Linked DNA regions of Saccharomyces cerevisiae S288C. Each later gene encodes a partner of the first gene's protein in a complex. Each region holds a gene or a part of one and is shown in the gene's direction. Other genes may lie near its edges.

The links.
Region 2: the proteins of SMY2 (region 1) and MSL5 are in contact, whole or in part, in a crystal structure (PDB 3FMA), measured with the Saccharomyces cerevisiae proteins. Residues at the interface, in NP_009731.4 of Saccharomyces cerevisiae: Tyr210 (codon at 2,395), Asp212 (codon at 2,401), His218 (codon at 2,419), Phe221 (codon at 2,428), Trp229 (codon at 2,452), Tyr234 (codon at 2,467), Phe235 (codon at 2,470), Leu239 (codon at 2,482); in NP_013217.1 of Saccharomyces cerevisiae: Ala443 (codon at 3,071), Pro444 (codon at 3,074), Pro445 (codon at 3,077), Pro446 (codon at 3,080), Gly447 (codon at 3,083), Leu448 (codon at 3,086).

The regions. Positions count from the first base shown.
Region 1 is NC_001134.8:578,577-583,139, reverse strand, and holds SMY2 (Smy2p), read left to right. Parts: upstream 1-1,767; coding exon 1,768-3,990; downstream 3,991-4,563. Other genes in the region: SWD3 (Swd3p), read right to left, coding at 1-732; UMP1 (Ump1p), read left to right, coding at 968-1,414; Sec63 complex subunit SEC66, read right to left, coding at 4,156-4,563. UniProt on the Saccharomyces cerevisiae protein: Suppressor of the MYO2 gene.
Region 2 is NC_001144.5:379,078-382,779, forward strand, and holds MSL5 (mRNA splicing protein MSL5), read left to right. Parts: upstream 1-1,744; coding exon 1,745-3,175; downstream 3,176-3,702. Other genes in the region: cleavage polyadenylation factor subunit CFT2, read left to right, coding at 1-1,487; CLF1 (Clf1p), read right to left, coding at 3,394-3,702.

The DNA.
Region 1 (4,563 bases):
GTCCATACCGCAGGAATGATGCAGTACGCCCTTTTCAAGAGGCTGAACCTGGAAAGTACGAACTACACAACCCCCGATGCAATCCCATATTTTCACTACACCGTCCAGCGATTTCACCAGGAGATATCTTGCATTCTCAGAAAACTTAACTTGGGAGATGGGTACCACACCATTTTCTCTTTTCCAATCCTTGTCATAGGTCAATGTCTTCAAACAATGGCCCGTCTCTGCATCAAAGATCCGTATGAGCCCGTCATATGAACCTGAACTCAGAATGGATGAATCATTCATGGGTACGTCCACCGACACAACTGCTTCTGAGTGTGCAGATATTGTTTTCATCAAAGACCCGTTCAGTGTGTCCCATATTTTGATACTTTCGTCCATTGAGGATGTAAACAGCAAGTTCCCCTTTCTATTGAATGTCAGAGATATCACTGGCGCTGTATGGCCGATAAAAGTGTGCAGCAGCCCATAAGATAAATGAATGATTTCCACAGAAAAATCATCCGATGCAGTAGCTATGCACTGTCCATCTGGAGACCAGCATAACTCTGAGAAAGGCCTGGCATGTGATGTGACTAGTGTTTGTGATACAGTTCGTCTGTTAATGTCGTATATCAGGATGTTAAGTCCTTGTGTTATAGCAAGAAACTGCCCATCAGGAGATATTTTCGCACAAGTAGCTTTCAATCCATTCTGTGTTCCCACAGGAGTAACAAACTGGAACATGTTAGCATATAATGGCCACTTGCAAATGAATGAGCCTACGCTCAAACTTTCCAATATCTACCGCCAGTGATGCACAAGCATTTCTTATGGTCTTGCTTTTTTCACTCCTCGGGTAACCATGCAGTGGCAATTTTATCCTACCTGAGGTTATTAAAGTATATTATGTAGTTTCCTGCTCACTGGAGAGGGAATGAGTATTAAATAGACAAGACCAGAAACAGCCTGCATACCAACTATGAATATCGTCCCACAAGATACCTTTAAATCTCAAGTCTCTACAGATCAAGACAAAAGTGTTCTTTCATCTGCAGTGCCCTCCTTGCCAGACACATTACGCCAGCAAGAAGGCGGTGCAGTACCTCTTTCCACACAATTGAATGACAGACATCCATTAGAATCAACATTGAAGAACTGGGAAACCACACAGCGCCAAAGACAAATGGAACAGTATCGACAAATATTTGGCATTGCCGAACCAATGAAAAGGACGATGGAAATGGAAATCGTCAATCGTACCGACTTCAACCCCCTTTCAACAAACGGTAGTATACACCGTGACATACTACTGAACAAAGAGTGCAGCATCGATTGGGAGGACGTCTACCCTGGTACTGGCCTACAAGCCAGCACCATGGTAGGTGATGACGTCCACAGCAAAATCGAAAAACAATTAGGCATTTAAAAATTGCTCTCAATTTCTTTATACATCTGTCACGTAAACCATTGAAAAGATTAGATTAGTGCCGTAATACTTATACTACATAGTTGTGCCACACTATATTTTTAGTGTCCTATATAGTCCGCAATTACCCTATGCCTTTTTTTCAGTCGCACTGAAAAAAAAAAAAATTTTTCATATTTCCACTTATAGGTTGATTTGATTTGATGGGCCTTTTGGAACTTTTCACAATACTACAAATACCCACACACGCAGTTCAGTGGTCTCTTCGAGTTCATCATTTCCATTCGTACTCCTTGAGCTTTTACCTTCCTTCCTCCTCCCCTATATACTCAACTTCTCAGCCCACATCAATAATGATAGCACCAGACTCGCAAAGATTATTCGGTTCCTTTGATGAACAGTTTAAGGACTTAAAACTAGATTCAGTCGATACAGAAAACAATAACACACACGGTGTTTCTACTATCCTGGATTCCTCCCCTGCGAGCGTTAATAACAATACAAACGGTGCTGTTGCTGCAAGCGTGAATACAGTCCCTGGATCGACGTTTAGATCCAATACACCTCTTTTAGGAGGTCGACATCCACTCAGTAGGACGTCTTCCTTAATCGATTCTATTGGTATACAGCGTGCTGCGTCACCATTTTCTTCTATGAAAGAGCCTTTTATTCCTCAAAGTTCGGGAGTAATGAGTTCCTCTTTTTGGCACGGCGACCATCCTGAATCACGGGTTAGTACGCCTGTTCAGCAGCATCCACTATTGCAAAGAAACGAGTCCTCCTCCTCCTTTAGTTATGCTGCTAATCTTGGAGTGAATCTGAGTACACATTCATTGGCGGTAGATATTACTCCATTAAGTACACCAACTGCTGCCCAATCTCATGTCAATTTGTTTCCGTCCTCTGATATTCCTCCTAATATGAGCATGAACGGAATGTCACAACTCCCAGCACCAGTTTCAGTTGAATCCAGTTGGAGGTACATAGACACGCAGGGACAGATTCATGGTCCATTTACTACCCAAATGATGTCACAATGGTACATAGGTGGCTATTTTGCTTCAACCCTTCAGATTTCAAGATTGGGAAGCACTCCAGAAACGCTAGGAATAAACGATATTTTCATCACACTTGGTGAGTTAATGACTAAACTCGAGAAGTATGATACGGATCCATTCACTACTTTTGACAAACTTCACGTTCAAACAACCAGCTCTGATTCTATCAACTTGAATCTAGCTCCTTACGCAAGCGGTGTTGCCGCTACTGGCACTATTAAAGCTACTGAAAACGATATTTTCAAGCCATTGACACATGACAATATCTGGGATATGGATGGAGGTACCACCTCCAAGGGAGTCGATATTAAATTAGCCTCAGCAACCACCATTAGTCAAACAGATGAATCTCACAAGCAAGAATACAAATCGACCACTATGCTGGAAAAAGGGAAGAAGGAAAAATCCGAATCTGTAGCAAAAGCGTTATTGGATGAACAAGAGAAACGGAACAGAGAACTCAAAAGGAAGGAAGAAGCTCGCTTATCGAAGAAACAAAAGCAAAAAGAGGATGATTTATTGAAGAAACAAAAGGAACAAAAGGAACAAAAGGAAAAAGAAGCTTTGGAAGCAGAAAAGCAAAAAAAATCAGAAAAGACAAAAAAGGACACACAAACACAAACAGAAGGCTTTAAGACATCAAAAGATTTGCCTTCATTAAATTCCTCAAGCGCGAATCCGGCACCATGGGCCTCAAAAGTCAAAGTTAACAATGCAATCGAAACTTCAATTAAAAATGGTGTAAGTAGCACTGGAAAGAAGAAAGGAGAACCCTTAGGTCTACAACAGAGGAACAGCAAAGAAGAAAAGCAAAAGGAGGAACTAAAATCCGTGCTTAACTGGGCTAACAAGTCCAGCCTACCATCGAATCAAACTATTGATATTAAATCTCAGTTTCAAAAAAGCCCAAAAGGGATGAAAGAGTCGTCTCCGTTAAAGGAGTTGGAAGATCCAAATTTCATAGAAGAGCAGAAAAAACTATGGGAAAAGGTTCAGAGTTCTTCCAAACAAGTAAAGTCCACATCCTCTGCATCTACTACCACATCTTCTTGGACTACGGTGACTTCTAAAGGGAAAGCACCTATAGGAACCGTTGTCTCCCCATATTCAAAAACCAATACCAGTTTAAATTCTTCATTAACGGCAAAAACTAGCACAACTTCTACTACCACTACCTTTGCTAGCATGAACAATGTTTCTCCCCGGCAAGAATTTATCAAATGGTGTAAATCACAGATGAAATTAAATTCTGGAATAACCAATAACAATGTCTTAGAACTATTATTGAGTTTACCTACGGGGCCAGAATCTAAAGAATTGATTCAAGAAACAATTTATGCCAATAGTGACGTTATGGATGGTAGAAGATTTGCCACTGAATTTATTAAAAGACGTGTTGCGTGCGAAAAACAAGGTGATGATCCACTAAGTTGGAATGAAGCGCTAGCTCTATCAGGCAATGATGACGACGGCTGGGAATTCCAAGTAGTGAGCAAGAAGAAGGGTAGAAAACACTGAAAGGAAAAGCTTCATAATTTTTTCTTTTCACTGCATATTTCTTTATCATTTATTGTTATTGTATATACTTTATAACTATTTTTTAACGCAGATAATGACAAATTCTATACATATTTTTAAAAAAACACTGAACGAGCGAATACATATCTTTGCACACAGTAGGCACTAATTGACTAATCTTCCATCATTATTTATTTTCAGCTCCCACTCTTTAATACACACTTCTTTCCGTTTCAAGATTGATTGATAACGTCTAGAGAGAGCTTGATTAAAGCAAATTTCTTTACAAACCATAACGAACAATTGAACCCAGCCCGGTTGCAATCTTTCAGCTTCTTGTAAAGTATCTTTAAATTCCAATTCAATTAATTTAACTTCAGTTTCAAATCTCTTCCAGTAATCCTCCCCAATAGAGCCATTTTTATATAGAAGGTTTATCTGAGGAGCCAACTCTTTTAACTTTAATGATCGTCTAACAGATTCTGCTCCTCTGTTCAATAAAGCGGCCTTCAACACCTTCTCGTGAATTTTTTCATTTTCACTCATTTCCTTTATTTGGAAATACAGATCATG
Region 2 (3,702 bases), on another chromosome or scaffold:
TTTTGACCAAGCCGAGCTTTGAATGTGCGTCGTCTTTAGACAAGATACTAGAAATTGTTGAACAAGATGAAAGAAATTGGAAAACATTTCCTGAAGATGGTAAATCATTCCTCTGCGATAATTACATTTCAATAGACACCATAAAAGAAGAACCCTTGAGTAAAGAGGAAACAGAGGCGTTTAAAGTACAGCTTAAAGAAAAGAAAAGGGACAGAAATAAGAAAATTCTACTGGTGAAAAGAGAGTCTAAGAAACTGGCTAACGGCAACGCAATCATAGATGATACCAACGGAGAGAGGGCAATGAGAAATCAAGACATTTTAGTGGAAAACGTCAATGGAGTACCACCGATTGATCATATTATGGGGGGTGACGAAGATGATGATGAAGAGGAAGAAAACGACAATTTGTTGAATTTACTCAAGGATAACTCTGAGAAATCAGCAGCGAAAAAAAATACGGAAGTTCCTGTAGACATTATAATTCAACCAAGTGCCGCTTCAAAACATAAAATGTTCCCATTTAACCCCGCTAAAATCAAGAAAGATGATTATGGTACTGTTGTAGATTTTACGATGTTTTTACCTGATGATTCTGACAATGTTAATCAAAATAGCAGGAAAAGACCTCTCAAAGACGGTGCTAAAACCACGAGCCCTGTAAACGAAGAAGATAACAAAAATGAAGAAGAAGATGGTTATAATATGAGTGATCCAATTAGCAAAAGGAGCAAACACCGTGCTTCTCGTTACTCGGGATTTTCTGGAACCGGAGAAGCAGAAAATTTTGATAACCTTGACTATTTAAAGATAGACAAAACGCTCTCCAAAAGAACAATCTCAACTGTAAATGTCCAATTGAAATGCTCCGTAGTAATCCTAAATTTACAGAGTTTAGTTGATCAAAGGTCTGCATCTATTATATGGCCATCGCTAAAATCTAGAAAAATAGTTCTTTCCGCCCCCAAACAGATTCAAAATGAAGAAATTACGGCAAAACTTATCAAGAAAAATATTGAAGTGGTCAACATGCCATTAAATAAGATAGTGGAATTCAGTACAACAATAAAGACCCTGGATATCTCCATTGACTCCAACCTCGATAACCTTTTGAAATGGCAACGTATCAGTGATAGTTATACAGTTGCCACTGTCGTTGGCAGGCTGGTTAAGGAGAGCCTACCGCAAGTGAACAATCATCAAAAAACAGCGTCAAGGAGTAAACTAGTCTTGAAACCATTACACGGTTCATCTAGGAGCCATAAAACAGGTGCGTTGTCAATCGGTGACGTTAGGTTAGCACAATTAAAGAAACTTCTCACAGAGAAAAACTACATTGCAGAATTTAAAGGGGAAGGTACACTTGTCATAAATGAAAAAGTAGCAGTCCGCAAAATCAATGATGCAGAAACTATTATCGATGGTACGCCTTCCGAACTTTTTGATACTGTCAAAAAATTGGTTACGGATATGTTAGCAAAAATCTAGCCTTCTTGTATACAGCACAAATAAAAGGTTCAATTTACGTTCGTGGACTGCCCACAAAACAGTATGTGACATAAATTGCTGTGTATCTCGCACCGCTATTATCTGTATATAACATTCTAACTCACTTTTAACGATATTAGCATTATTGATTTCTTTCTTTTTCTGCTGAATTTCACCAAGCGGAAATTTTCAAAGCAGAATTTTTTCCCTAATTTGCTACAAGTGCTATTCTATCCCACAATAAAAGGAAATTGTTGATGAGTTTTAGAAGGATTAACTCTAGATACTTTGAAAATAGAAAAGGAAGCAGTATGGAAGAAAAAAAAGCAAAGGTTCCTCCAAACGTCAACCTTTCGTTATGGAGAAAGAACACGGTAGAAAGCGATGTCCATCGATTCAATTCTCTTCCATCAAAAATTAGTGGGGCCCTAACTAGGGAACAAATATACTCCTATCAAGTCATGTTTAGGATTCAAGAAATTACCATCAAACTGCGTACGAACGATTTTGTGCCCCCCTCCAGGAAAAATAGGTCACCTTCTCCGCCACCAGTTTATGATGCCCAAGGTAAAAGAACGAATACCCGTGAGCAGAGGTATAGAAAGAAACTAGAGGATGAACGTATTAAACTTGTTGAGATAGCCCTAAAGACCATCCCTTACTTCGTTCCTCCGGATGATTACAAGAGACCTACCAAATTTCAGGACAAGTATTATATCCCGGTGGATCAGTATCCTGATGTCAATTTTGTTGGTTTATTATTAGGTCCTCGTGGACGTACGTTAAGAAAGCTGCAAGAAGATTCGAATTGTAAGATTGCAATTAGAGGAAGAGGTTCAGTCAAAGAAGGTAAGAATGCAAGTGACTTACCTCCAGGCGCCATGAACTTTGAGGACCCCTTGCACTGTTTAATTATCGCAGACTCGGAAGACAAGATCCAAAAAGGTATAAAAGTTTGTCAAAACATTGTTATCAAAGCGGTGACATCTCCGGAAGGCCAGAATGACTTGAAACGAGGACAACTGAGAGAATTGGCGGAACTTAATGGTACTTTAAGAGAAGATAACAGGCCCTGTCCAATCTGTGGTTTAAAAGATCATAAAAGGTACGATTGTCCAAACAGAAAAATCCCAAATATACAGGGCATTGTTTGCAAAATATGTGGACAAACTGGACATTTCAGTAGAGACTGTAACTCATCGTCTCAAAGAATGAGCCGTTTTGACAGAAACGCCACGGTAAATAATTCTGCGCCAATACAGAGCAATGACGTACACTATAATAGCAATACTCATCCAATTCAAGCACCAAAAAGATCTCGTTATGACAATAACTCGACGGAACCTCCTTTAAAATTTCCGGCTTCTTCACGTTATGCACCATCACCTTCACCTCCTGCGTCACATATTTCGAGGCAAGCTCAAAACGTGACGCCTACACCCCCTCCCGGCCTAACATCAAGTAGCTTTAGTTCCGGAGTTCCAGGAATCGCCCCTCCCCCATTACAAAGCCCTCCAGAGTCGGAACAACCGAAATTTTCGCTACCTCCACCTCCCGGTATGACTACGGTACAATCCTCAATTGCACCTCCTCCTGGCCTAAGCGGTCCTCCAGGGTTTTCTAATAACATGGGCAATGACATTAACAAACCTACACCTCCGGGACTGCAAGGGCCTCCCGGATTATAATACACTCCCATTATACAATATCTGCATTTTTTTTTATTTGTGTTGAAGGTATGTAGTCTCTATTTTGCATAGTTCCTTTTTTTGTTGGTTTTTTGCCTTCCTGGTTATTATTAACTTTTGATATTTAATTTACTTACTAGCTTATTCTACTACTGTTTAGTTTCTACGGCCTGAACTACAATGACAAAAATATTATTTCACGATACCCTTACCTTTATTCAAAGTGCCTGTTCCTGTTTCCATTTTTTGGCTAGTTCCAAGAACTTTGATGGTTTTGGCTTGTCATCATCGATATCATCAGGAAAAATGTAATCCACGAATTCTTCTTCCACACCGTTCTGTAACCTCACTTTTTTGATTACTTTAGGGAATCTTTTCTTGACGGTTTCTTGATCGAGTTCAGTACCGTAAGTTTCTTCATAGTCTTTTAGCGCTTCCAAAATAGACAGTCTCCCTTGTTTATCATCCTTCTCCTTGAAAAAAACTATCGCCTCTTCAAAAACTTTTCTTGCCTCCAATTTATTCTC